Linked DNA regions of Coturnix japonica. The main gene of each other region encodes a partner of the protein of the gene in region 3 in a complex. Links are inferred from orthologs where the notes say so. Each region holds a gene or a part of one and is shown on either strand. Other genes may lie near its edges.

The links.
Region 1: the proteins of GNB1 (region 3) and KCTD5 are in contact, whole or in part, in a cryo-EM structure (PDB 8U7Z), measured with the Homo sapiens proteins. The link is inferred for Coturnix japonica from reciprocal best matches to the Homo sapiens genes GNB1 and KCTD5. Residues at the interface, in NP_001269468.1 of Homo sapiens: Arg52, Gly53, Leu55, Lys57, Tyr59, Gln75, Asp76, Gly77, Lys78, Thr87, Asn88, Lys89, Val90, Ala92, Pro94, Leu95, Arg96, Ser97, Ser98, Trp99, Met101, Leu117, Gly131, Asn132, Val133, Arg134, Val135, Thr143, Tyr145, Gly162; in NP_061865.1 of Homo sapiens: Val157, Arg159, Val160, Leu161, Gln162, Cys163, Gln164, Glu166, Glu167, Gln170, Met171, Thr174, Met175, Ser176, Asp177, Trp179, Ser190, Tyr191, Val205, Lys207, Leu209, Glu219, Ser221, Lys223, Ala224, Leu227, Gln228, Arg230, Gly231, Ser232.
Region 2: the proteins of GNB1 (region 3) and GRK2 are in contact, whole or in part, in a crystal structure (PDB 5UKL), measured with the Homo sapiens proteins. The link is inferred for Coturnix japonica from reciprocal best matches to the Homo sapiens genes GNB1 and GRK2. Residues at the interface, in NP_001269468.1 of Homo sapiens: Leu55, Ala56, Lys57, Tyr59, Ala60, Gln75, Asp76, Gly77, Lys78, Pro94, Leu95, Arg96, Ser97, Ser98, Trp99, Val100, Met101, Leu117, Tyr145, Ser147, Asp186, Met188, Cys204, Asp228, Asn230, Asp246, Ile270, Cys271, Asp290, Phe292; in NP_001610.2 of Homo sapiens: Tyr553, Gly556, Lys557, Asp558, Phe584, Pro585, Asn586, Arg587, Glu589, Pro597, Gln598, Leu600, Thr602, Glu604, Ala654, Leu657, Val658, Val661, Pro662, Lys663, Met664, Lys665, Asn666, Lys667, Arg669, Pro671.
Region 4: the proteins of GNB1 (region 3) and CALCRL are in contact, whole or in part, in a cryo-EM structure (PDB 6UVA), measured with the Homo sapiens proteins. The link is inferred for Coturnix japonica from reciprocal best matches to the Homo sapiens genes GNB1 and CALCRL. Residues at the interface, in NP_001269468.1 of Homo sapiens: Arg52, Phe292, Ala309, His311, Asp312; in NP_001258680.1 of Homo sapiens: Lys167, Ser168, Ile394, Arg397, Asn398, Gln401.
Region 5: the proteins of GNB1 (region 3) and GNA13 are in contact, whole or in part, in a cryo-EM structure (PDB 8H8J), measured with the Homo sapiens proteins. The link is inferred for Coturnix japonica from reciprocal best matches to the Homo sapiens genes GNB1 and GNA13. Residues at the interface, in NP_001269468.1 of Homo sapiens: Gly53, Leu55, Lys57, Tyr59, Gln75, Asp76, Lys78, Ile80, Thr87, Asn88, Lys89, Val90, His91, Ala92, Ser98, Trp99, Met101, Leu117, Asp118, Asn119, Tyr145, Asp186, Met188, Asp228, Arg314, Trp332; in NP_006563.2 of Homo sapiens: Ser31, Ile34, Asp35, Leu38, Glu41, Lys42, Val45, Lys50, Gly205, Ile206, Glu208, Lys219, Val221, Lys231, Arg232, Trp233, Phe234, Glu235, Cys236, Phe237, Asp238, Ser239, Val240, Arg279.
Region 6: the proteins of GNB1 (region 3) and TRPM3 are in contact, whole or in part, in a crystal structure (PDB 6RMV), measured with the Mus musculus proteins. The link is inferred for Coturnix japonica from reciprocal best matches to the Homo sapiens genes GNB1 and TRPM3. Residues at the interface, in NP_001153488.1 of Mus musculus: Lys57, Tyr59, Trp99, Val100, Met101, Leu117, Tyr145, Gly162, Asp186, Met188, Cys204, Asp228, Asn230, Asp246, Arg314, Trp332; in NP_001349418.1 of Mus musculus: Lys615, Arg616, Lys618, Ala619, Lys621, Leu622, Leu623, Gly624, Met625.
Region 7: the proteins of GNB1 (region 3) and CHRM2 are in contact, whole or in part, in a cryo-EM structure (PDB 7T96), measured with the Homo sapiens proteins. The link is inferred for Coturnix japonica from reciprocal best matches to the Homo sapiens genes GNB1 and CHRM2. Residues at the interface, in NP_001269468.1 of Homo sapiens: His54, Leu55, Asp312, Asp333, Ser334, Phe335; in NP_000730.1 of Homo sapiens: Val50, Asn51, Arg52, His453.

The regions. Positions count from the first base shown.
Region 1 is NC_029529.1:7,254,001-7,257,500, forward strand, and holds part of KCTD5 (BTB/POZ domain-containing protein KCTD5), read left to right. Parts: intron 1-2,341; coding exon 2,342-2,450; intron 2,451-2,918; coding exon 2,919-3,010; intron 3,011-3,500. UniProt on the Homo sapiens protein: Its interaction with CUL3 suggests that it may act as a substrate adapter in some E3 ligase complex. Does not affect the function of Kv channel Kv2.1/KCNB1, Kv1.2/KCNA2, Kv4.2/KCND2 and Kv3.4/KCNC4.
Region 2 is NC_029520.1:139,340-143,569, forward strand, and holds the start of GRK2 (beta-adrenergic receptor kinase 1), read left to right. Parts: upstream 1-1,430; 5' UTR 1,431-1,593; coding exon 1,594-1,706; intron 1,707-1,866; coding exon 1,867-1,943; intron 1,944-2,448; coding exon 2,449-2,522; intron 2,523-2,708; coding exon 2,709-2,810; intron 2,811-2,901; coding exon 2,902-2,976; intron 2,977-3,158; coding exon 3,159-3,220; intron 3,221-3,464; coding exon 3,465-3,516; intron 3,517-3,668; coding exon 3,669-3,760; intron 3,761-3,979; coding exon 3,980-4,079; intron 4,080-4,157; coding exon 4,158-4,230. UniProt on the Homo sapiens protein: Specifically phosphorylates the agonist-occupied form of the beta-adrenergic and closely related receptors, probably inducing a desensitization of them. Key regulator of LPAR1 signaling.
Region 3 is NC_029536.1:1,650,839-1,654,338, forward strand, and holds part of GNB1 (guanine nucleotide-binding protein G(I)/G(S)/G(T) subunit beta-1), read left to right. Parts: intron 1-367; coding exon 368-406; intron 407-1,288; coding exon 1,289-1,395; intron 1,396-1,696; coding exon 1,697-1,760; intron 1,761-2,343; coding exon 2,344-2,506; intron 2,507-2,598; coding exon 2,599-2,665; intron 2,666-3,500. UniProt on the Homo sapiens protein: Guanine nucleotide-binding proteins (G proteins) are involved as a modulator or transducer in various transmembrane signaling systems.
Region 4 is NC_029522.1:5,173,646-5,177,145, forward strand, and holds part of CALCRL (calcitonin gene-related peptide type 1 receptor), read left to right. Parts: intron 1-703; coding exon 704-814; intron 815-1,755; coding exon 1,756-1,868; intron 1,869-2,904; coding exon 2,905-2,996; intron 2,997-3,500. UniProt on the Homo sapiens protein: G protein-coupled receptor which specificity is determined by its interaction with receptor-activity-modifying proteins (RAMPs). Together with RAMP1, form the receptor complex for calcitonin-gene-related peptides CALCA/CGRP1 and CALCB/CGRP2.
Region 5 is NC_029533.1:6,470,051-6,473,550, forward strand, and holds part of GNA13 (guanine nucleotide-binding protein subunit alpha-13), read right to left. Parts: coding exon 3,065-3,500; 3' UTR 1-3,064. UniProt on the Homo sapiens protein: Guanine nucleotide-binding proteins (G proteins) are involved as modulators or transducers in various transmembrane signaling systems.
Region 6 is NC_029547.1:31,831,328-31,835,512, reverse strand, and holds the start of TRPM3 (transient receptor potential cation channel subfamily M member 3), read left to right. Parts: upstream 1-1,385; 5' UTR 1,386-1,400; coding exon 1,401-1,562; intron 1,563-4,185. UniProt on the Homo sapiens protein: Constitutively active, non-selective divalent cation-conducting channel that is permeable to Ca(2+), Mn(2+), and Mg(2+), with a high permeability for Ca(2+).
Region 7 is NC_029516.1:54,483,444-54,487,741, forward strand, and holds the start of CHRM2 (muscarinic acetylcholine receptor M2), read left to right. Parts: upstream 1-1,498; 5' UTR 1,499-1,639; exon of another isoform or gene 1,640-2,087; intron 2,088-2,102; 5' UTR 2,103-2,254; intron 2,255-4,298. UniProt on the Homo sapiens protein: The muscarinic acetylcholine receptor mediates various cellular responses, including inhibition of adenylate cyclase, breakdown of phosphoinositides and modulation of potassium channels through the action of G proteins.

The DNA.
Region 1 (3,500 bases), on a different chromosome or scaffold from region 3:
GCATGTGAGAATAGGAAGCTGAAATAGTAGATTATACTTCATCCAATCCAGCTGCATACCTAGGGACTGATTGCCTCTATCACAGTTTGCACACCAACGCTTTTGTTTGTTATTTAACTACGTGCATCATAACAGCTCCTTCATTTTTACTGAAAAGGCTCTGGGAAAGGCAGCGTGTTTGCCTTCCAACCACCTGCAGGTTCTAAGGTGGAGCAAGGCTTGGCAGCCTGCAGGCTGCTGCTGGATGTGCTTCTGGTTGCAGCACAGGGAAGACTGACCTCTGTGCTCCCTGTGGCGAAACTGATGTTGAAAGAAATCAGTTCCGTGATTTCATGTTATTCCTCTCCCTTCATGTCTCAAGGTGTGATAAGTGTCATTGTATTTAAGACTGTTCGAGATTCATCTCAGCAAATGAGTGAATGGTAGTGGTCATATCCAATGTTCATAATAGGATTTGTTTTCAGAAGTGTTTAAATTGTGGTTCGTTGGTGAACATGTTTGTATGGTAAGTTTTACAGCTTGGCTTTCCAGTATATCAGTTTATCTTTTATAAACTCTTTTATCATTCATTAAACTTCTCCCTAAGTGAGAATATCATCAACCTTTCCTAAAAAGATTTTGGCAACTGTATTTGTGCTTGATGTTTAAAACCTTTCTCAAGTTAAGAATAATAGTACTGAGATAGACAGTTATGGAAGCGCTGGATGTTTTAGATGAACCAAAATCTTCTTGGCAGCACATTCTTAGCTGTCAGCACTAAATAATCAGTGCAAGAAAAGCTTCTTAATTATAGTCATTATTCTAAGATATAGTTAAGATGAACTTTATTTTGCCAGTATATTTCTGGTTAGTCAGTTAGGTGAGTGTGTTGTGATATTAATGTAGTTTGGGTTAGTACTGGCCATCAACAGTTTTTCAATGTTTTAGGCCACATAGTTAGAGAAGAGAGATGTTCAGGGCATCCAAATGAAGATCTAAATACCACAGGAGGGTAAGGGAGGCAGCTGCTCCTAAATCCTGCCTCAGTGCCAAATATAATTGTGTTTCTGTGCATATTCCTGCCATCAGCAGAAATTCTGCTCGCTTGGTGTATATAAATGATGCCAGTGTTTTAGATAAACACGTTGGAGCTCAAAGTGTTGAGCAAAGAGTTTGATCCTGTGGTTTCTAACAGTGTCCATTCGGGAAAAGTGTTTGAGAAGTCATCAGCCTTATTTTGACCTCAGTGGAGGCACTGAGCCGGGCATGGATTCCTAACGATTCAATTTGTGCATTCATGCAATTGTTGGGAGCAATGTTAAATGGGGTTAGAGATCGTTTGATTTAAATTATACAATATCCTCGCTTAGTTCCTCTCAAGTAATGGTGCTTTCTTGTGGGGAATTAGTTGGTAATATATATAATTCAATTCAGGCTGTGGTCTGGCCTTTCTGCTGACCCTGATGAGACAAGTACATCCTTCCAGAAAGAAATCCATGTGCCTGAATATATATATGTATATAATATAAATATATAAAAAAATATATATTTCATTTTTTTATTTTTTGAAGGAAAAGATTAGCTACGAAAGGCCTAATATTTACAGTGATCTGTTGACAAAAAGGCCCAGCATATCAGTTAGGCAATCCTTTTATCAAGCTCCTTCAGTTTAGACATCTGGCTGTTGAAGTACCTCAATACTGCTTTGCTCACAACTGTTCACACAAACTGAATTATAAAGGAAACAAAAGTTTTATTCCTTTGATTCTTTGACAAAGGTATCAGCTGTGCAGGAAATGCTCCTGAGTTCTTTATAAGATCCAGTGTTCAATTCACTGAGCTGAGCATCAGTTGGAGGTTGCTGTATGCCTTTGTCTGTGTGAGGGAGCCTCTGAGCAAAGGCAGAAACAAAAGATTTTAGATCAAAATGGTGATGAAAAAAGATAGCTGGTATTTGAACCTCTCTGTAAGGTAGTCTTTGTTCTGATACTTCAGAATTCCAACCAAAATGATAGTTCCTGTGCTGATTGTAACCTTAGTTTTCAGTGTTCGCCCGTGGCACCAATGCTCTGATGTTTTTATCGTTGGTAACAAGGGGTGGGGGCAGTTGGTCATACAAAAGAAGTTGCCTGTTATACAGTTTGAGTTGAGTAACTGATCAGATATATTTACAACTAAATTGCTGAATTTCATTTAATGTCTAAAACAAACCTGGTTTGAAGTGGTATGTCTATGTCTGAGAACCTGCTTGCTATTCAGATACCATGCTGTGTATTAGCTTGCAATTCCTGCTTGTGCATTCAAATCATTGTGCTTTTTTAGCTGTCTTGTTTCTTTCTTTCTTTCTTTGTTTTGAAAATAGGATGAAACAGGTGCCTATTTAATAGACAGAGACCCGACCTACTTTGGGCCAGTGCTGAACTATCTCAGACATGGGAAGCTGGTTATTAACAAGGACCTAGCTGAGGAAGGTAGGATGTTACTAAATCTCTTGATCTCTCGTCATTTTGTTGTTATTTTTACTGCTTTGAAAGTCAACAAAAATAACTTAAAGGTAGATGATGAATTAACATTGTGCAGCATTTCAATCTGTTGCAGACAAAGCTGATTGGTGTTGTACAATTACAGTATGTTGTTGTTAGAGCTTTTTGAGTGATTCCTGGTGTGTGTCGCAGCTCCCATCCTCAGAAACTCAGCCTAGAAATTCAGCTATGAAGGGAGATGCTTCTTATGACTCTGTGAAATAGTTTTTAGTCTTCTTCAAGCAAATGAATACCAACTGTCAAACGAGTTTTAGAAGATGTAACTTCCTTTACCAACCCTAAGGGAAAATGAATTGTTTTCCATAGCTGTGTAGAAGATGATATTAAGAACTGGTTGGTGGTTTTGACCTGGAGCATTTGGTTACACAGTCTTTTCAAAAAATGTTCTCATTCTAGGTGTACTGGAAGAGGCTGAATTCTACAATATCACATCACTAATAAAACTGGTAAAGGACAAAATAAGAGAAAGAGACAGCAAAATCTCACAGGTAAGGCTGTTTATCAGTGTGCTTTTCATTATTTGTTTGATAGCAAATAATGGGTGATTCTCTTTATTTTTTCCTTTAACTGCGCATTCTCCCAGTAAGATGCTGGGCGTCTGTCCCCCTCATTGACCAAACTGGAGCCATTAGCATCTGTAGACTAATATTTTAAGTCTTTAATAGCTGCTAGTATATTTACAACAGCCAGAGGGTTCTGGTTCTTGTTCAAAAACTAAAAAGCATGTTAAAAAAAATGTCTAGTAGTGGAATAATATAATTAGCAAAATATGCTTGGAAATAGTTATTTGAGAAAAAAACTCAGTTTTTCCATATATATTTACTTACTTCGACTGTGGTGATATTGTCTAAATATGCTGTAGCTGCATGTTTATACAGCATACATACAGATGTTATTTAGCTCTCAAACTTTTTGTAGCAAAGTTACCTTCTACATTTGTGGTATTCTGTAGTTGTAAAGATCTTGCCAAATCATCCT
Region 2 (4,230 bases), on a different chromosome or scaffold from region 3:
TGGAGAAACGGGGCGCACCCTCTTCCCCCTACTTTTCCCCAGCTCCTTGCCTTGAAACACTTGTCACTTCCCTGTTAGCACAAAGCTTGAGGCCTCTCCAAGGAGGAGGGAGCAGAGCTGGGACGGGCCCTCTCTCTCGGTGCCACCACCAGCTCGAGCCCTGCTCTAAACCCCCTCACCCAGCCCTTGGATTCCTTTCTTCCCCTGCAGCAGCGAGGGCAGGAGCCCTCCAGCCTGGGCATGGCGGCAAGGTTGGGGATGGGGCTTCCACCCTGGGGCGCTTCCTCAGAGCCCTGTGCACAGGCAGTGGCCGAGGCTCGGCTGGGGGAGCAGCCCCCAGAGCTCAGGGAGGACTCGAATAATCAGCCGCGGGTGAGTGAGCACGGGGGGGGGGGGGGGGGGGGGGGGGGGGGGGGGGGGGGGGGGAGGAAGCTGCTGCATCTCCCTCCCCAGCTGCCTACCACGGCCGAGCGCTGACATTCGTGTGGCAGGGCTGCCTCGCTGCCTTGTCCTCTCATCTCCCACCCTCCCCCCCACCCCATTTTAGCTGCCGTTTTTTCCTTTGCAATGAGCGGTTGGTCCAAAGAACCTCTCTCTTGGGCAGCAGAGAGCTTTTTGCACTTTAAGAAAAAAAAAACAAAAAAACAAAAAAAAAAAAGCAAAAAAAATTAAAAGTAAAAAATCGGAAAAAAAACTCAAGATATGAGGGAAAAAAAAAGAAAAAAAAAAGTTGGCATCTTTTGGGTCGCTCTTTCGTTCCCCTCCCTGCCCGTGCCCGGCTGCTGCTCCTCTCCCCGGTGCATGGCACAGCGCAGCCCCCAGAAGCAATAAGGGAGGAGAGGAGGCTGCGGGCGGGCTGTGAGCAGCGCTGGGGGGGGTTTAGGGAAGGAGGGGGCAGAGCCCCCATCTCTGTCCTGGTGGCTGTTGCTGCGGCGTTTTTCTTTCTTCTTGGGTTCATTTGTTTGAGTTTTGCCACCAGGACAGAAGCGAGGGGAGCGGTGCGGGACCCCCCCCATACAGCCCCTCCATACAGCCCCATAGCCCCGCAGGGACAGCGAGCTCCCAATACACAAAGAGAGAGTTCTGTATATGGGATCGCTCAGTGATTTAAAGCGCCCGCACCGCGCCCGGCTGCCTCCCGCAACAACTCCCCATCGTTTAAAGGTTTCGTTGTGTTTTCGTTCCGTTTCGACCCCCCCCTCCTCCCTTCTCCCCCCTCGGAGACATATTGTAAATATATATTTTTTGTTGGCAATTTAGAGTCCAGCCGATGTTTGTGCTTTCAAATTAAATGTAAGCGTTAAGGGTTCAAGCAAAACCAAGTCGCGTGCGCTCTCTGCGTTGGGGCCGGGGGGTGTTGGGGGCACGGAGGGGCCGTTTGTTCCTGGCTGGTTGTTGGTTGTTGGGTTGTTTGCGGAGCTGGGTTGGACATCTTTGCTCCTCCAGCATTACTGCAACTACTGCCATACTGCAGCTCCGGGCTCAGCCCCGCGCACAGCTCGGGCCCAGCCCAACGCGTTTCCGGCTGCTCCTACTTCCGCTTCCGGGTCGCTGCTGGGGGTCGGGCCGGTGCCGGCCTCGGCCCCGCGCAAGATGGCGGATCTGGAGGCTGTGCTGGCCGACGTGAGCTACCTGATGGCCATGGAGAAAAGCCGGGCCGCACCCGCCGCCCGCGCCTCCAAACGGATCCTACTGCCCGAGCCCAGGTGAGTGCCGTCGGGTCGGGGGCACCGGGCCGGGCCCTGCCTGCCCTGCCGCCCTCGGCCCCGCCGTGCCCCTACGGAGCCCCCGTCCCCAGACACCACCGGGGCGCGTAGGGGCAGTATGGGGCAGTGTGGGCCGAGCTGAGCCCCGGCCGCCCCCCAGCATCCGCAGCGTCATGCAGAAGTACCTCGAGGAAAGGGGCGAATTAACCTTCGACAAGATCTTTGCGCAGAGAATCGGTGAGTGGGGGCTGCGGGCGCCGCCGTGGGGCTGCGGAGGGGCTGGGTGGGGTCCTCCCCCCCCCCCCCCTCGGTCCGCCCTGCCCCGCCCCGCCGCTTCCCCTCGCACTAACTGTCCTGGGCAGGAAGCGCCTCTTGCTTCCTCCCCGCGGCTCTGGTGGTTTCCGGCACCTCCGCCCTCTGGCAGCCCCATAGCCCTCCTCTGGCAGCCCCATAACCCTCCCGGCAGCCCTATAGCCCTGCTCAGCGCCATAGCCCTCCTCTGGCAGCCTAGTAGCCCTCCCGGCAGCCGCATAGCACTCCTCTGGCAGCCACATAGCCCTCCTCTGGCAGCCCCACAGCCCTCCTCTGGCAGCCCCACAGCCCTGCTTAGCTCCATAGCCCTCCTCTGGCAGCCCCACAGCCCTTCTCAGCCTGCTGTGCTCTTGTTGTGTGGCACCACATCGCTCGGCCTGGGTGCCACACTGTGATGCGGTCACCGCTCGCAGCACTGCCTCTACCCCAGGGTACCTGCTGTTCCGGGACTTCGCCCTCAACCAGGCTGAGGAAGCCAAGTCCCTGATGGAGTTCTACGAAGAGGTGTGATGTGGGGCTGGGGATGGGGTACCCTCTGATGCACCTGGGGGAGGTGGTGCCCTGGATGCCTGGAAGCAATGCACTCAGTGCCCAGGGTCCTGATATCCACAGGTGTCCACGAGACACTGTGCACTGTGTGCTCCTTGTGGGGCTGTGCCCTCTTCACCATGCAATCTGTGTCCTTGGCAGATCAAGAAATACGAGAAGCTGGACTCGGAGGAGGAGCGCCTGAGCAGGAGCCGCCAGATCTACGACCATTACATCATGAAGGAGCTGCTGGCCTGCTCCCATGTGAGTGCTGTGCCTCATCGTGCCAAGCCACAGGAGATTCCACCACCGTGTCCACCTCCTCACGGTGATGTGGTGCTGTCCTGCCCTGCAGCCATTCTCCAAGAGTGCTACAGAGCACGTGCAGAGCCTCCTGAGCAAGAAGCAGGTGCCCCCAGACCTCTTCCAGGTAAGTGCTGTCCGTGACGTGGAGGGGATGGTGGCACTGGGGTCACCAGAGACAGCTGGCCTTGGGTGGCAGAAGGTGGTAGTGGAGGTGTGAGATATCCCACCTAGAGGTGGGACCTGCAGGGAATGGGGCGGACCTGGGTGGTACTGGGGATGTAATGCTGACCCCCGTGTTACCCATAGCCCTACATTGAGGAGATCTGCCAGAACCTGCGTGGGAGCATCTTCCAGAAATTCATTGAGAGGTGAGACAGGAGCACTGCCCAGGGAGATCTGTCTCTCAGGGTGCTGCAGGGCTCCTGCTGAGAAGTTCCAGTGCTGTCTGTCCCCACACTGGAGAGTTGGGCCAGTGTCACTCCCAGTTCTGGCCTGGGGTCTCTTTTCCCACATGGGGTCCTCTCCACAATACGGATCTCCTCTGCCCTTCCTTGCGTCTTAGAGGTCTCCCCAGGGGTCCCTCGCTCTCACCCTCTCTGTGCTTCCTTGCAGCGACAAGTTCACGCGGTTCTGCCAGTGGAAGAATGTGGAGCTGAACATCCATGTGAGACCTTGCTCCTCGGGATACAGCCAGGGAGGGAATATGGGTCCTGGTTCTAAGGGAGCTCCAGGAGACTGAGGCAGGGTATGGGACCCCCCCAGGACACACAGGGGGTAGCTACCATCGGGTGATCCCCTCTTTCTGATCCACTTCAGCTCACCATGAATGACTTCAGTGTTCATCGCATCATCGGTCGCGGTGGCTTTGGGGAGGTCTACGGCTGCCGGAAAGCAGACACAGGCAAAATGTAATGGGGCTGGGGAGCTCTGTTCTTGTGGGCAGGGGGGGTGAGCGGTGTTGCCGTGATGGTGGGCATTTAGCGGTGCCAGAGCATTGCTGTGTCTCCACCTTCTGGGGCAATACATCATGGTAGTTGGGGGAAGGAGCTGTCTGACCACAGATGTCAAAGAGTGGGCGTGGTGGGTCCAGGTAGCAGCAGGACCCCACAGGGACTCTCTGCCCCCAGGTATGCCATGAAGTGCTTGGACAAGAAGCGCATCAAGATGAAGCAGGGTGAGACGCTGGCCCTCAACGAGCGCATCATGTTGTCCCTTGTCAGCACAGGGGTGAGGGGATTAAGGGCACAGGGTGATGCGGGGTGCTGAGGCACAGCTGGCTTGGCATGACATCTTCTCCCTGGCCAGGACTGCCCGTTCATCGTGTGCATGTCTTATGCTTTCCACACACCCGACAAGCTCAGCTTCATCCTTGACCTAA
Region 3 (3,500 bases):
GAGCTGATTCTGTCCAAACCATGCATTACTGTAGGACAATTTGTTAACTCTTAATATAATTTGTATGAAACAAGCCTGATTAATGAACGCATCTCGTGTGTTATTTTTCCTGAATGTAGTAGAAGTTGCATGTCAATACGGCTGGATTTCTTTGCCGGATGTGAGGTTTCATGACAAGGAGATTTCAAACGCTCGGCATGTTTTGACAGCAGTCTGTCATGTTATGTTCATGCTGCAGTTACGACGGGTCCCTTCTGAATAACAAACCAAAATGCTTTTTAAACATTATTTTGTGACAACTTGATTAACTTGACAAAACAAAGATTGAACAGAACTTCTTCTGAGTTCTTTAACTCTTCTATTGCAGGATGCTAGGAAAGCGTGTGCAGATGCCACCTTGGCTCAGGTAAGCAGTGAAGAGTTTAACATGAATTACAAAAGGTACATCTGAGTGGATTTTTGGTTTTTTTCGTCTTTTTTTTTAAATTTTATTCAAGGAAAATGTGGTGCTGATGTCCAGTTTCTGAGAGCAGCAACCAACATGGAATGTGCTCACAATGACGATTTTTGTGTCAGGGAAATGCACTTTTCACTGTGCTGATGGCCTTTGAAAAGAAGCAGAGACTCTTGCTCAGATGTTCTTGCTAAATCTGTAACATTGGAGACATGAGAAATATGCAGACAATATCCATAAAACAAACTTGCATACTTTTGGATTTGTTGAGATGTGTGCTTGCTGTATTACTGGAAATGTGTGCTGGCTTGGGTATTTTTTATTAATTGTTTTTGTTTTTAACCAGTACTTCAGGCTGGAGAAATTACTGATGTTAAACTTAGCTGCGTAAGGACAGCTAAACTAATTACTTCCTTATGTTGCTATTTACTTACTCCAGAGACTGCTTTTATCTTCCAAAAGTTAAATAAAACAGGAATAATATGATTATAGTTTTCCAGTATTTGGAATGGAAGTTCATCTGGATCTGAAAGTGAGTTATTCATCTTTCAAAAGCAGAGGTGTGTCTATGGGCTGAGATAGTGCACCCCATGCTCCTGACTGTGGGGGAAAAAACAGATAACGAAATGATGGTTTCTTTAAAGCAAGTACTGCATAAATGAAGTAATTCTTGATGAGACATTTAAAAAAAGAAATTGGTCAATATAAAAATAAGTAGAACTTCTTGATTTGCATTGCAGTGCTTACTGGAATGTTGTTGGGTATGATGGTTTGTGGTTTTTTTCTTCTGTGGTACTATGAAAAATTCAATGGATGGTACAATTCCTATTTCAGATCACAGCCAATATTGACCCGGTGGGGAGAATTCAAATGCGCACCAGGAGGACGCTCCGGGGACACCTGGCCAAAATTTATGCAATGCACTGGGGGACTGATTCCAGGTAGGTTCACTGCTGTGGGAAGTTGGCTGCATCCAGCTGTTATTTACCTGTTCTGCCACAGAAACCCAGTAGTTCAAAAAGAACATAGGCAACAGAGAGAGCTTGGGACAACTTAATGTCCCAAAGTGCTGATGTCCATTCAGTTTTTCTGGACAGCTTAGAACTGTAACTTCTGTTGTAAAAACAGAAAACAAAGCAAGCTGACAGTATAGATCATCAAACTCATTGAATCTTGAAGCCTATATAGATTGCAATGTATAGAACACGATGTGACCGTATTTACCACTTGTTTCCTCTTCAGGCTTCTAGTTAGTGCCTCCCAGGATGGCAAACTTATAATTTGGGACAGCTATACTACAAACAAGGTAAGATTAACTGTTAAATTGATAATTAATACAAAGGAAGGAAGTACTGTCTGTCAGGATTTTGACTGCATTGCTTTGGTTGACATAAGCCTAAAGCTTGATTTCTCCAGTAGGGAATGTAGCAGCGTTTCAAGTGTTTTGTGTATGAAACTGTGCACTGCAGACAGAAGAAGGCAAAGAGGAAGTTAGTGAAATACTAAGTCATTGTTTGCTGTGGGTTTCCAGAGTAGGATATGAATGGTTCTGAGAGGAACAAATTCCTCACTAATTCATTTATAACATAGCATCTGAGCCTAGAACTGGCAGTTCTGCTGACAGTACTTGGAAGTCAATACTTTCCTGAAGCTACTGCAAACTATTAGTGATCAGAGCACTGAAATAATTTGATTTTTATGGAAATTGCTGATTAAACTGAATTCAGGAAAGGCAAACCTGAGGTTTTAATTACATGTTTACTTGATCTGACAAGCTGTGTGTTTTCTTCTTGATGCACCCGTAGAGAGGGGGAGAGATGAAAACCTACTGGTGCTAAATGATTGAATCAGTTGTTCTGCAGGTGAAGTGCTGATTGTATTTATTTCAGGTGCATGCTATTCCCCTGCGTTCGTCTTGGGTCATGACTTGTGCATATGCGCCTTCTGGAAACTATGTGGCTTGTGGTGGTCTTGATAACATCTGTTCCATTTATAACTTGAAAACTCGTGAAGGGAATGTACGTGTCAGCCGTGAACTAGCTGGGCATACAGGTGAGTACATACTCAGAATGGCCTAGGTTATGAGGGCATACAGTGAAGCCAGATCTCCAGTTCTATTCTTTGGCTTTTTGTTTTGCTTTCAGGATACTTGTCATGCTGTCGTTTCTTGGATGATAATCAAATTGTTACCAGCTCTGGCGACACCACTTGGTAAGCAGTAAAATTGTGACATGATTGTTAGTAATGATACACACAGCAAGTCTGTTGAAATAAACTTCATAAAGGTGGTAGTCATCCAGAATATTATACATGATCGATTGTTGCTTCTAAGTTACATTTTTTGCTAGTAATGGAAAACTTGATCTTTCAAGGCTATTACCTTTGGCTGCTCAGTTAAGGCTGTGTTCTCAATTGACCTAATTTTTTGTGATAAAAAGATAATGTTGACTTTTTTTTGGTATAATTTGCCTTTCAGAAATAAGCGATTTTTCTTAAAACACTTTAGTGTTCAATATTAATTTACAGTTTTTTTTACAAAGTCATATTTAGGTGTTTATAAATATGAAAAGCTCCTAGAAAATATTCTGCACTGACAGCAGGTGCAGCTTTTTTCCTTGAGGAGAATGTGGGTGTATGTCTCAATAAAAACTAGCTTCTGGATGAGAGAAGGCCTCAATCTTCTTTTCATTAGTTTTTGTATTATATCTACTGCTTAAAATCAATACAGATCTCCCAGGCAGCAGTTCTTACAGCAAAGGTTGTCTAATAAATAGCTCTCCTACACAGTGTCAGTCTCTTTAAAGGCCCGTTCATTAGTCCACTGATTGTGAGTAACTAATGAATGTAGACGTTTGTTTTTATATCAAGGTGTTCCTAAACATAATTTATAAGACAAAAAGGATCTGTTAAAACAAGGCTCATACAGGACAGTGTAACTGTGCTCAGGAGTTACCGTAGCTACTAGACAGTTGTTTGGATAACGCTTTGTCCACCTCGGATCAGCCAAGCTTTGAGAAGAATGACAAAGGGCAGTGACCTTCTGTTT
Region 4 (3,500 bases), on a different chromosome or scaffold from region 3:
AGCTCTTTCTCAAAGGAAGTTTATTTTAGGTGTTCTGAAAGAGATCTTGGAGAGCGCAGTGAGAGGCTGAAACAGGCTCTAGAGGGACACTGCAACATCCCTGTTCTCAAATGTACAGAGAAATGTCTGCAGGCTCATCTCTGAGGAAGAGAAACCATGGCTGCTTCCTGAATAGGCTTTCTGATATCTTTGAGGATACCACTCAGTTTTCAAACACATCTATAGCTGAAGTACACATCCAAAATCTAAATAAATTCAGCGAAATGGTCTTTGCAAAATCACGGAACCACAAAATGGCTGGGATTGGAAGGGACCTTAAAGATCATCAACCTCCTGTCAGGACAGATGAAATGTAAAGTTCTTTGTTGTGTATTTTTTGGTTTGAATTGGTTTACTTCTCTTTGCCCAGAGAACATTACCCTACCGTGCCGTAGATCTAATGTGTTTTGTGAACTGCAGGAATAGCTAATGTCAATAAGAATGATAATGGATATTTCTGAGAAATATACCTGTAAGGAAGTGGTTCTACAACATGAAATACTAATTAGCTCCTGCTAAATTTTAAGTTTCCATTTTTATCTTTACAAAGTCATCTCCCATGTAAATGAGCAACTTACCTTTCCTGGTGTTATACCTTAACTTTTGAAAGACTACTTTGAAGGAAGAGTTGCTATTTTATTGGCAGTTGTCCACTTGTGTCTAGGTCCTTACTGTAACAGGACATGGGACGGCTGGTTGTGCTGGAGCGATGTTGCCGCAGGAACTGTATCGGTACAGCATTGTCCCGACTACTTCCAAGATTTCAATCCATCAGGTAAGTGTGTATGTGGGCTTTCTACATAAGGATACTGCTAAAAGAAATGATCTTTTGTGTGCTTGATGCCTACTCTTTGCTTTACTCAAGTCAGTAATGCATCTGAATTTCAGCAACTCCACATCCATTATTTGCACTTAGCTTGTATTACAGGAAAGTTCTAAGGTTTTTTACTTTTCTGAAAGTAGCCATGGTAGAATTCTATAGATTAGGAAATACAAATTTAATTTAGATGACCATTCTTTGCTATTGGTGATGAGAATTACCTTCTGAGAGGAAAGCAGATATGTAATTTATTTACTTTTTTAACCTTAGTTTGGCAGCTGAAGTTAACAAGTGTTTCTCCCACAAGCGAGTCTTTTCCAGTAAGCTGAACTTGGCAACTGTGTGAGCATGTGGAAAATGTCACAGACTGCCACTCTTGTCTGCTTCTGCCGCATTTGCTATTTCCCGTGGTCTTTTGGTGGCCATTTAGTATGTGACTTAACCATTATGCAGTCCTGGAAATTCTCCAGTCTGGTTCTAGAGCAGTTTCTCTATTGATGTTTTCTTGCCTGTTCAATTTACAGTGGTAGAATGTTAGACTTCTGTTTATATCTTGGATGTTAAAGTGGCCATTTAAATATCCTCATCACTTCATCTGGTAGTTCTCTAACAGTTGGATATATTTTGATAGCAATTTGTGGAAGAGGAATGTATGTGTTTTCTTAAGAAAAAACACACATAAACGGTTGCCCATGCCAAGCAAAAGCAACGGCCTCGGGTTTCTCAGAACTCCAAGTAACAGTCAACGTCTCTCTAGTCATACTAATAAAGCTGTCATTCATTTGCCAATCTTTTTTGTGAAACACGAGGATCAGGAAGTAGAGCTTCGCTGCTGACTGTTGTGTTTTTGCCTTGTTTTTTCTGTTTTTCTTTTCCACTACTCTGACTGCCTGTAGAAAAAGTTACAAAGATCTGCGATTCAAGCGGGAACTGGTTTAGACACCCAGAAAGCAACAGGACGTGGACGAACTACACCCAGTGTAATATCTATACGCGTGAAAAAGTGAAGGTAGGAAAGGAATAAATGCACATCACCGGTCTCAAAAAATGATCTGTGAAACATTAAAAACGCACAGATAGTGTCTCATCTAATAACATTTCTTTAAAGTTTTACATATAATTTGTTTATATGATTTCACAAGTCAATTTATGTATCCATTCAAACATTTAATTTGAGTAATAGGTTCAGAGGCCATGTACCATGTGGAGTACGTGAGCCTGTGCATGCAGGCTATTATACTTTCTTATGCAATCTGGACAACTATGCTTTATCGTGGTCATGTAGGGTTCAACCTAAAGATGTTCATTTTTTTCTGCGTAAAATGATTTTTGTAATAAAAAACAAAAACAAAAAAGGTCTATTTATGAGGCAGACTCCATAATTGAAAGCAGAATGTTGTTATTGGTAGAAATTAAGTTATTAATTCAAATAAGTGATGATAACATCTTGTATATATGACTAACATTACTTCACCCGTTCTTCATTATTTTGCTCTCTACCTAGCTTTTCATAATACTATAGTTTGGCTGCAGGTTTATTTGTTAGTTCCACTTAGTCTTTGCTATTTTGGAGCCATTGTTCATTTTATTTGTATCCTTCAAACGAAAGCTCGATTCTAGGAAAGTATCCTTATAAGAGACAAAATTATAGGAGCAAAAAGTACATACCTTCATATGTGTAGAAGATTGATTTATTTTCTTTAAGAGACACACGATAGACAAATCTAACCTCAGATGGGAGTGCACTAAGCACAGTTGCAAAAATGACCTGATTTTGTATAACTACTCAGAGAAAACATAGTGTATATTTAAAAACCTATTGTCTTAACATCTAAGAGAATTTTTGTGTTTTAAATGAATCTGGTTTTACCCATCAGAGATGTTAGTAAGATAGCAATTTGCAGGATTCTCAATTGACTCATTGTTTTCAGTCAAGTTTTTGTGTTCTTAATCCTCATTACAGTTATTTTGTGGGTAGATGAAGAAGTATGTTCATTCTTAATAATTCTGTATCACATGCTATTGGTTTTATTCTTCTATTGCAGACTGCTCTGAATTTATATTATTTGGCCATCATAGGACACGGTCTTTCAATCGCCTCACTTCTGATTTCTCTTGGCATATTCTTTTACTTTAAGTAAGTATATTTAAAATTCTTTCCCAAATATTGTTGTTTGCAGCAACGCTAGTTCCAATGCTTTAGAAACACGGGCCTTTCAAATAAATTGGATGGAGCAACAAGGTGAAAAACAAAAAACTCTATATGGGTTTGGCATTGAATATGCTTTTACAATAAAATCTTAGGTTTCTGTCATCAGAAACCTAGCATTCCCGATCTGCAAATTAAAAATTGTAGCAGATGTTGGAAATGTGGAAAATGGCAGATAGAAAACACAACCAACTACTAAACAAGCATGTTTTAGGAGGTGGAGGAGTGTTGCTTGCTTGCTTGCTTGTTTGTTTGTTTTTAGTAATATCTTAAGGTGTGGATATGTCAAGAGTGGGTCATGCTGAAGATTAAACGAAAACTAAAGTACTGATGGTATGTAAGTCACATACATTTTATAGACATGTGGCATATAAATCACATTACGAAGGATAGAGCCACATAATGTAGTAGTGAGGAAAATAAAGCAAAGAG
Region 5 (3,500 bases), on a different chromosome or scaffold from region 3:
GGAACGCAGACTACCAAGCTGAGCCTTCCTATCCAACAGTGATTGCTTCAGGATAAGAACCAGCCTGTTCCTCAACAGCAGTCTTGTACCAAAATTAAATAATGCTGAACAGAAATGATATTTAGAAGAAAACCTAAAAAGCAATACAACAGTATGTGATGTGCTGCTCCTTTTCAGGTAGCTCTGAAGTTTAAAGATGGAAAAGCCCAATATTGATTCAGTTTGTTTATCCAGTATGTTAACATAGGAACCATGTAAACAGCTACATCAAGGTTAGTTGCCTCCCTCCCTTTAAAGAAGTGGGAATGGGAAACGCAAGTGATTTCATTCAGTAATTTCATTAAAATATTTCATTTTTTGCCTGAGATTCATATAGTGCTTATCTCCCAGGGACTACTACTTTGTCACAAGTGCCCCAACACCTGGGATGCACCTTGCTGCCTTAGAGGCCCCAACATTCACAGAGAAAGTCTTCCGAAAGGATTCAAAACAGTGTTTTGTTTTATGTGTATGTTGGTTCATGGAGAAGCTTGATGAGTATTTTCCTACTTCAGCTCCCGTCAGAAGTGCCCGGAGCCTTGGTGAAACTGACCACATCCTTAGACTGACATCAGTTTTGAGGATCTTTTGTAAATTAACAAGTCCCTTGACATAGAAAATTATCAACACTTTACATTATTATTATCTTTTTTTCTTTTTTTAAAACAAATTCCTTGTAATATTCCTCATCATCCAATATCCAGTCTTCAGTCTTTTCTGTAGCCATCTAGTCTGACATCCCACCAAACACTTACTACAGACCTTCTCCAAATTAATTATATGTTAATCAGCACAGACAAGTCTCTTTTCAAAATAAACTTGTTCAAACAACTGTCAGAAATGGAAAAAAAAGTCACCTCCTCCTCCCATCTGTTTGTTCCAATGGTTAATTGCCCTCCCTACATGGGTGTGGATTTGTTCAAACTACTGTTGGACTTTGGAGGCTAAAAGGCAGAGGTTTATTGTCTGCTCACACAGCATTTACAAATCAACCCGTCATCCTCCCAAGAGGAAAGTGGAGAACTTTTGGGCTGACACTAGAAGCATGTTGCCCAACCCTTTAAATACCCTCAACCAGCCTCTTCTGAGGTCTCCAGTTCATCATCCTTGAGTTGCTTACACATGAACCGAAGACATAAAAGTAACCGTATCCACGCCTACAACAGAGGCAGAATCTAAATATCCCCATCTAATGATTGTATTAACCCTCTCGACAGTGTTGCACTGACTTTGTTGGTAACACACCGTGACTTCTCCCAAGCTCTTTACAGAATTCCTTCCTCCCAAAATAGTGCCTCGTTGCAGCAAACACAGACTAATCTATGACTATTCATCGGATGATATAAAAATAGAGGTCTTTCAAAGCACTTAACTAAATAAAAATACACTATTCTCCACCTACGAACAGGAGAATGAGGTACAGATGTTAATACAACTTACAATCACAGTAAGGAAAGTTGAAGTTCAGGAGACAGGCAATTTTCCTATGTTCCAGCAACATGATCACACCTGCAGAGACGCTGCTCCAAGTGCTGAGCACATTACATCACACCTCTTGCCACATATGTGGGATGCTGATAAAGATTCACGTTAAGAAAACATTGGCCAGCATCACGATCCACAGGAATGTGCAGGTTCCACGGGGCAAAGCGGCAAGTTGGACAGACTGAAATGGAATTACAGCCTGGGGAAAGCTTTGGAGCAGCAGTACTCTTCTTAAAAACACATGTTGGCAAGCTTACTCTTACTTGGTAGCACACTGCTCGGTGTGTGAGGATTTCTAGGCAAGAAGCATTTTTTTTTGGTAATCACATGGTAACAGTAATATCTCACCCTTACCCTTTAGAAAAAACTACAATGGAACTTATGGTAAAATATTATCTAAAGTACGCTATGCAACATGTTTGGCTCAAGTACACTTAGGATTGCTAGACCCAACTGGAAAGTCTCAGAAAGAACCTCATCAGCTGAAGTGTATTTTGCTGTGATGTCCTTCTTTCAGCAAACACATTCATCTTCACGGTGTCAGCTACACAAGGCCTCTGCTGGGAACACATATTTGCATAAGGCCACTGAAAATACTGTAGGACAGAACACACGGAGGCACTTAGGTCTGCAAGTACTTCTATCCGTCACCGAATCCTTACTGATCACGAAGAGGCACACTGCAGGAAGTCATAAACCAGTGATATATTAAAGCGCTTCAAGAAAAGGTAAGGTACCTACATGTCACATCTGGTTTGTGAAGATAAGATAAACAAGTTTAACTTGCTCTCCTCCCCACATTCAAAGGACCATCATAGTGCTCTTATGTTTGCCATGGCTCCAAGACAGAGTACTTACAATGCAACAGAGTGAAACAGTGTACTGTGTCATTCACTACGCCTCGCCGCTGGACTCGTGCCTGCACCAGTACTTCCTGCCAGACATCTGAAGTTCCCAATCCAAGGATTTTTAAAGCACATCCTAGTCAAAACCCCTGCAAAGGTTTATGCTTAACAGGAAGAACATTACACCCAGGAATCCCAGCTTCAGATGCATGATTCCAGCGAGGGATTTAAGGGTTTTCTAGCTAATATTAGACCTGAGAAATTGTAAGTCAGCTACAGTATCACAGTCTTCATTACGAAGTCTGATGTGAAAGGTCTGCCCCCCTAAATTACTGCCAAAGCTCAACAACTGCAACAATTTCACTGAAGTTTGGACTTAGAATTCTGAATATAGAATGATTTTCTAAGATAATATGCATGTTCTTAAAAGGTCAAATTGAATCACTTTACAGGTAACTTAGACATAGGTCTGCTATAAAATTACAATTTGAGTCAACTTGAAGCTACACTGGGAGAGATTAAGCCTGAAATTCTGCAGAAATTGGCAATAATGTGTTCAGCAGCAGCTTTTAGCCATGTATCAAGAAGTCTGACAGGACCTGGATTTCTCTACTCCTGCTGTAAACTTCTAGTTTAAAAAAACAAACAAACAACAACACACAAGAGTTACTCAAATAAAAACGTCTTTTTGCACATCACTGTAGCATAAGCTGCTTGAGGTTGTCATGAAGGATGGTATCCTTGACATCACGGAAAACTAGTCGGATGTTCTCTGTGTTAATAGCAGTGGTGAAGTGGTGGTAGAGGGGCTTCTGCTGCTGGTCCCGGCGTTTGGTACGAAAACAATCCACCAGGAATTTTTGGACATCCGCTAAGCAGTGGGGATCCCCTTCAAATTGTGGAAAATAGTCTTTGATGCTCACTTTTTGTACTTTTTCCTCAAGCAAGTCCGTCTTATTTAAGAAGAGAATGATGGAGACGTTGCTGAAAACCCGGTTATTGACTATTGTTTCAAAAATGTTCAGGGACTCCGTAAGGCGATTCGTTTGCCGATCCTCCATAAGCACTTGGTCAAATTCACTCGAGGAAACAAGGAAGAGTATTGATGTGACACTGTCGAAGCACTCAAAC
Region 6 (4,185 bases), on a different chromosome or scaffold from region 3:
ACAAAATTCTTAGTCATTTGCTTTCAACCTGGAGTTAACTGATAATTCAACATGCTGTTTGGACACTCTGGCCCATGTTTCTTGATTACTATCAAGACATTAAGCGCACTGTGAGGAAAACACATTATTTCATAAACCATTTAAAATACTGCAGCTGTATCTAGAACAATACTGTCCATTATACTGTCATATCATCTTGAAAAAATAGAAAGTTCAGCTTCTTAAGATAGCCACATACATCTGAATTTTTCAGTAAAACACTCTTCTAAAGAATTGTTATAAGAAGGGTTAAATCATAAGTGCAAGTCTAAGTAAGTGCCTACAAAACAATTTTAATGATCCTTATATAACACAGTGTCCACCTAGCTATGTAGCCTATTTTGGCAGTGCTTTTAGGTTTTTGTTGTTCTTGTTGTTAGCATGGCTGTGTTGCACACAAAGAATTATTTACCTTGTAATGTTGCTGTCTGAGCTTGTACTCCCAATATGCTGACTACCCATCTTGTTTGTTCAGCCGTGGGGACCTGAGCATTCTGTCATCTCACAAACAAAAATTAGCAGAGAGCTCAGAGGACAGAAGAGAGGCATTGTTTCCCTCTGGCAAAACACTGGTGCACTGTGCTCAGCAGGTAAAGCAGATGGACCCGATGTGCACGTTCCTGAAATGCCCTTTGGATCATAGTGAGCCCAGAAACTCGGAATAGGAGCTGCAGGAGACCTCTGCAATTCTGGCAGACAAAGCATTAATTCCAGAGATACTCTTTGTTATATTTAAGAAAGGAAAAGAGGCCCCCACGAAGTGTGCCTTGCCAACAGGTACCATGCAGCCTTTTGCTGCTGATTTGGAGTTTGCATCCTCCTTCAAGTAAATAGGGGAGGAAAACGTTGAACTTAGCATGGAATTCACTCATCGGTAAGGCTACTGGATCATGGGGAAATTAGCAGTTTAGCTCAGTAAAACTGTTAATTCAGATTAATAAAAAGCAACCTCCTGGTAAGATTTTGGCAATATGCAGAGAGAGAAGTGAAACAGCTCTTGTTAGTAACAAGTCACGTCTGATCAGCGCACAGCACCTGACCTCTTCTTCCCCGCTCGCGCCAGCACCTCTCGAGGCTGACAATTACAACTTCAATTTCTCCTCGCAAAGCTCCCACCATCTCCCAGCACACCGCGCTCTCGACCACGGCCATTGCCCCCACGTAGGCGGTCGTCCCCTCCCTCCCCTCTCAGGGGGCAGCTCCAGGGGCTCCCCCGAGGCAGTCCCGCGGCCGCGGGGGGCGGGCAGCTTCACTCCGCCCCGGCCCGCCCCTCCACCCCCCCTCCGCGTCTCGGCAGCATCGTTAAAACTAAGGGAGGCGCGGTGCGGGGCGGCCGGCGGGGCCTGGAGGCTCCGCGGGACATGGGGCAGAAGCGGCGGAGCCCCGGCGCGGCGGAGCGGGGCTGCGCTGCCGAGGGGACGACGGGTGGCAGCGGCCGCGGTCGGCTGGCGGAGTCCTGGCGGCGGCTGAGCTCCCGGCGCGGCTCCGCCAAGCGCAGCGGAACCTCCGCGCCCGCGCCGCCGGTGAGTGCCCGAGACCGGGATGGAGCCCGGACCGGAATCGAGATGAGAATACGGGGCCCCTAGTGAAACAGGTGGTGGGGATGAGGGCGGTGTCGAGAAACCTGTTGCGTTTTCGGAGGAAAATCACACTTTGCGCGCGGTTAATCTGACTTTGTAGTTGTAACAAGTGAAAGTCTCCTCTGTTGCCTTTTCCCATTCTCTCTCTCTTTTTATTTTATTTTTTTTTCTTTTTTCCTTTTTTTTTTTTTTTCTTTATTTTTTTCTGTGGAAGCTGCTTGCTAAGAGCAGGACGGAGCGCGGCTCCCACTATCGCACGGTGTGCTCCGGCCAGAGAGCTGCGAAGTAGGGGCTAGGAACTACCCTCCTGTTGAGGCAAAGGACTAGAGGGAGGTAGACAGCGCTCTCGGTTGGGAGTCAGAGGTTTCTTCTTGGGAAAGTGTCTTCTTTGGTGGAGTTTTGCCTTCCGTGGGATATTCTGACAGTCTTTGAGGTGGATGGACAGACATCTTGACAGAGATGCATGCACAGCACAGATTACATGCTAAGAAAATGAACATGTTGGGAAGAAGTACATTGAAACTGATAGAACAAATTGAGCATTCAAGTAGAAAAAAAGAGTGGTACTTGTTAAAGTGCTTTAAGGTTGCTTTCTTAATCTTGGGATCAGGACCCTCATGCTAGGTACTGGACACATGTATACAGACAGAGATTTTGAATGAGCTGCTTACTGTTCAAGTACGTCAGTCTTTGTGTGTTCAGAAGCAGTGCTGTGAGTCTAACTGAAGCCTGACTGAGGTGCAGAACGATACACCGTATTTAATAGCTGAAACGTGTCATTTCAGACAGAAATACAAATTTATAAAGCTGTGGAGCTGCAAGGAAGATGCCCACAGGTTGAGTGCCAGTTGGGAAAATAGCATAAGGGTAAAGAGACCGACAGTAGAAAGGATGCCATGGCAACGGAAAGCATCAGAGAAAGTAACAGTATTCTCTTATGGAGTGGGGAGAGGAGGAGAGATGCGTTCATCTGTACCACCCTGCAGATCTTAATACTATAACTGAGGTTTTAGTGTTTATTTTTTCTTCTTCAGAATACACTAACTTCTTTTTACATTATATACCTTGAAGATTTATTCCGAGAGTCTATCACCAAAACTTAGCAGAAAAAAAATGCTCAGTGCAATCAGTGCAGTTTAGGCTTTATTTATTTATTTATTTATTAAGGTTCTTAAAGTTCTTATGTTTCCGTTGCTCGAAACAAAGTAGTTCTTGTTGCTTACAACAGAGATGAACTCTTACTCCAGACTGAACCTTGAATGATATCCAGGTTCAGAAAGTGCTTGGCAAGAGTAGAAAAGCTGTACTAATCTTTGTTTAATCATTACATTTTCATAGATGAGTAACTTACTTCTGATGTCTTGTCTACAGTAATATTAAGGTGATGTATTTACCCTACTGGATTTGCAATGCACTTAAACTTCAAAATTTGGTATATCAGGGGACAGCTGGGAGGAGCTTGATTCTGTTTGTTTGTGTGTTTCTTTTGGTTGTTTTTTTTTTCTTTTTTTTCTTTCTCTAGCCCCTCACTCCTGATTGTGTTTTTCCTTCAGTAACTTCTATTTTATGTTATTTGAAATTGGTCACTGGGCTGTGGAGGACTTTTGAGGGTCAATATTAAAGTGATAGGCTGTCATTAGTAACACTGTGTATGACTATACAGAATGTTTTTGTACAGCTGAACGCACTTTGCTGCATACGCAGAGTGGCAAATGGGTTCGTGCCTAATCTTGTCTTAATAGCATTGTTCTGGGGTCTCAGGTGGTTTCTGTGCCTCTTTAATTACAAAGGGTTGGTCTTGTTCACTGTTATTGATCATCTGGAAACTGGCCAGGAGATGTGCACTTGCCTTCTCTGAATTCATAAGCAGACTGGTGTGACAGCCTTTTGTAATGTGTCTTATGGGAGGCTGGTACTTTGCACAGGTAGTTTGGGATATGTGAAAGATGATGTCAGCATCCTCTTAAAAGGTAAGAATATGATTTCTTTAAAGGAGTCTCTGGTGTTGAACTCATGTGACAAACATACTGCTTTAGAAAGGTTTATTTAAGCAAAAATGCAGATGTGTTTCATTCTGAATACATGGCACCTGAATGCCTTGCAAAACCATTTAGATAGGCATGATTTTCCTGAAAGAAAAAGAAAATTCCACATTTTGAAGAGCTAATTTCCAACCTATAAAAATTTGATTTAGATTTTCTGTCAAATGCGGAAGATTTAAAGATTTAAAGCCCATTGTGGCTCATACTGAGAGTTAGCTTTGTTGTTTTTCTGCATCCCTTAAATTGGACAGTGTCTGCCAGTATCTGTGTTTTCCAATCCACCCTTACCTGTGATGATTGTAAAAATTACTGATTCTTGTATTTCACACTCAATAAAAAAGTGACAAGTCATACCCCTAAAAGTTGTCCTTTATTTTGTACTCCAATTGTTAATTCCTTATGAATGAATTTGCAGTCTTCTTTACCAACTTGTTGGTTTTGGTTTGTTTGTTTTAATATCTTGAGTGAAGAAGGAGTTGTCTTATTGAAAGAAACTGTGTAAGGGAGGGGTGTTTGAGTCAGAA
Region 7 (4,298 bases), on a different chromosome or scaffold from region 3:
ACAGCATGCCCACAGCTTACTTCAGACTTTCCAGAGTCAAATCAGATTTCCTTTTCTGGCAATTCACCTGAGATGGCCAGACAGCTATCTATTAAATCTGCTGTGAAAACCAGGCAAAATGTCCTGCATGTCCAAGAAAACAAACAAACAAATGAAAAGGCTCTCAGGCCAACTAACCTGATGCTCTTGAAGAGTTACAGTTGATCCAACAATTACACCTTGTGAAAGTACTCTCAGGTAAAGAAAAACAGACTTGTATAACACTGAAACATGAGTGCCTTCAAATCTCAGAGCTCCCTGCCTGTGGGTGAGTCCTATCACCAAGGGCAGGAGATGCACGGGGCCCAGCAGAGAATTTCAGAATCCTGGTATCCTGAACGTACACCTCCCTTTTGGAGGGTAAAACCAATGGTGAGATCTACCCAGGAACAGCTTAATATCTGCAAGTACTCTAGGCAGTTTCTCTGCTCAGAGCAAACCCATTACAAGAAATAACTTCTTCAAAGCGAAGGGGGAGGTTGGAGAGGAGTTAGTGGGCAATGTATCCAGTGGTCCTTCAAGAAGAGAGCTGGGTGAGAAAGGCAGTGCATGCAGCACTCAGGCAGAAACTGGGGTCACCTTCATAGAGTGCTCCCTTCTTTCCTGTTTGTTCTGCACCTCCGTCCCCTCAGCCTTCATACTATAGATCAGATGAACTCCCTTCCTCTGTTTGCCACTCCAGCAGCCCTGAATATTAGGGAAGAAATCCACAATCCCAGCCCACAAATGCATTCTGGTCCAGAACAAAGGAAATAAACCTGAAGATGTTTAGATCTAGATTACTTCCATGGAACCTAAAAGTTCCCTTAAGCAAAGTAAATACTTTGCAGCCTAATGACTATTAATTAAAAGGGAGTGCTTTACATACATCCAAGGAGAATTAAGTGCTGTTCACAGAATGTGTCTCTTTCTCCTAATTGTTTTGTCATTGTTCTGGGGAAGCAGCATCCCATGAATATTTCAGCACAATAATCAGTTTGAAAAACTAATCTGGATTTGGTACATTTTCCCCACAGTGCACAGAGACTCCGGTGACTGAAATAATCTAAAACCCAGATCTCTTTTTCCTCCCATATATCAAGTGAGACTTAGAGCCATCACAGAATGGCAAAAATAAAATAAAATGAAATAAAATAAAATAAAATAAAATAAAATAAAATAAAATAATAATAAAAACAAATAAAGTGGGGGAGTTTTGAGCTGAAAAAATGGGGAAGAGGTAACAAAAAAAAATCAGTTCAGATGTGCAAATTGTAGATAAAGACTTCTGATGAGGAAGAGGGGAGTGTCTGAAGAAGAAGAGTGTGTTGAAAGATAACAAGAATCAGTAATTTCTATTCAGCAAAGCCACCAAATCAGAGAGCAGTGCTGATCTTATTGGAGGAGAGCCTTCAACAGCAACTAATCCTGTCATATTGAAAGAAAATTGTAAATGTTCTCTGCAGAAATTGCCTGCCCATTGCAGCTAATCGAGCCCACTTGGCGCTCACACACCCACACACAGCACACAGCACCCGGACCCACAGCCGCACAGCCACCAGCACTGTGAGATGCTTACCTGGGCGCCCGGATCCCCTCCTTGCTGCCAACCCTCATGAAGGTGGCAGCTTGTCCTCATTTCCTTAGGAGTACTGTGGGAAATACGAATTATAATCGGCTCATTTATGAGCCCCAGTATCCTCTATTTTTAAATTCTCCAGTTTTGTCTAAACCTTTAAGCCAGGTCTGATAGCTCTATGTATATATGTGTGTATATATGTGTGTGTACATACATATATATGTATTTTAAAGCTGATCTTGGCTGAGCTGGAGCAGACTCCCAAGGGCCAGTGCCACGGAGAGAGTGCGGGGTGTGTGTGTGTGTGTGTGTGTGTGTGTGTGTGTGTGTGTGCCTGCGCATGTGGGAGGGAAAGAGAGAGCGAGGGAGAGACAAAAACTCCATCAACCCGGACAATGCCACCTCTCGTTTAATGCTTTCCAACTGTTATTCTTTCCCCTCATTATCACGGCACCAAGTAATCTGTCTTCTCCCCCCCCCCCCCCCCCCTCCCTCCTCTTGGAAGATATGGAAGAGAAAGATAAAGCGTCTGCCTGCGGGCGCTGATGCGCGCAGCTCGCATGCTCTGCCGCCAGAGCCGGGGCCACTCCGCAGCCGCCGCTCTCAAAGAGCCGCTTGCAGCGGGATGGGATGCAACTTCTGGTGATTGGATCACAGGTAAGAAAGCTTCGCTTTTTCATTGATGTTTCCTCTCTCTCTCTCTCTCTCTCTTTTTTTTTTTTCTTCCCTTCCTCTTCCTTTTTTTTCTTGTTCTTTCAGTCTTTATTTTGGTATTTTTCCCCCCACCCTTTTCTTTCTCGCCTTCTGCCCTCCTCCCCTTTCTCGCCGCACCTACAGTTTCATCTGCTGCCGTCATAGGGAAAGCTCCCGCCAAGAAAATAATGTCCAAGAAACGACCTTACGTTTTGCTTCCTAATAGAAGGAGCAGAGCAAAACATGGGGAAACTTTTGCTGAAAGGGTCTATCGCACTGCGGTCATCGGGGGCTGGGAGCGAGGGGAGAGAAGGCAAAGCCCCAGCAGAGATTTCCTCTGCTGAGTTACAGCTGTGATACTCATCCCGGAACCGAGGCTAAATGGTACAGCCAGGAAGGAGAGACGCGGTAACCCGATTTAGGGAAATCCTCACATTTACCAAGCGCTTCTCAAGTTGGCTTTTCTGTTTGTTTGTCAGTTTTTGTTTTAAATAATGTAAATGTTGAGTTCCAACACAGGGACGTCTCCCGGGCTACCCGTCCCAAATCCCACTGTGACATGTTTGCCGGTGAGTCCTGCAAAATGTCCTCGGGAGCTGGGAGTGGAGCCTGCCCTAGGGGTGAGGAGGGCAGAGACGGAGAGGGCAATAGGAAAAGGAGACTTCTTCCATGCCAGTGCGGTTCCTCAGCACCCCACCTAGGGACCGTGCATGTGTTCAGGGTCAGCGCCCATCCCCGTGGCCTCAGGTCTCAAGGGGGGGATAAGGGGGAGGGGGCTGGAAGGGGGCTGGGGTTCCGCCAGAGGCGAGAAAGGCAGGAGGTTTCCCCAGTTCCGACTTCACTTCTCTGGGTAGGTGCCCCCTGCGGTCCAGTCACAGGTGGATCCGGGGGAGGATGTGAGGATGCTCCAGGGTCGGGCTCAGCGCTACCCGCTACCACGTTCCGACTGATCTGGTGTGTGTGGGGGTAAGCCTCTGCCGGCTGCTCCTCCGGGCTCCCTCTGCTCCGGGTCGCAGACACGGGGTGCCTGCGGCGGGGAGGAGCGAGCCTCGAGAGGGAGCTGCTCTGACAGCGCGAACAAGAATACCTCCCGGACTGCCCCGGGAGCTGTGGTGTCGGTTACCCTCTCAAAGTCCAGCCATTTTCGGAGCTCTGTAGGGCCAAAGTGCTGCCCTACCCCACCAGCGAGTTTCTTTCAAACCCTTCTTCACTCTCGACTGGGAGCTGCTGTTCAGCTGGGGTCTCCGCAGAGCCACCAGGCATGTAGGCTCTTTTTATGTGCCTCGGGGTGATCACTGCACCCCGTCGGTGGAGAATGGACAGGGGACTTTCACCACACTCCAGAAAAGCTCTTTTTATCCATATTCTTTTCAAGCGCTTGCAGTACCTTTATGCAAACTCTTTTTTCTTCAACTGGTACTGGAGGATGGGGACAGGGATATTTCTTGCTGAAAATTCAGCCAGAGAAGTATGTCTCCCCACTTAAGTGTCATCCAGTGTGCTTGCACATTTTTCTTTAGCACTTGAGAAAAAGGGGAGAGGAAATAAAATTGAGGGTGAGTTTTAGCAGTGTTGGGTTTTTGTTGTTATTGTTGATGTTGTTGTTTGTGGGGTTTTTTAAAGAGATTGTCAATGAGGAAGGTTAATAAGGGAGATTAGGAGTAGGCGCTCTGTCTGCTTTTATGGTATTGCATTGCCTGCAATCCTAGCTCTGTCTAAATACGTGCCAGCCTCAATTACATAGTTTATGACACCAGCCGTTTTCAATGACTCGTCTATAAACTGTGTTATGTTGTGCAGAGTATACTCTCTCTCCTTTAGGCTCTTTTTGATTATAACTTTGGTCGAGCTTCCCCTCTGCAGGACCTCTGGATTGCAAAAACAACCCTGTTTGCTCTTGCACCTGGAGAGAGAGAAGTAGTACCACAGGTTTGCCAGCTTGTCAAGCCCACAATCTTCTCTAATACAAAACCAAGATCTTAGGAAATAACTGATCCACTTGTAACTC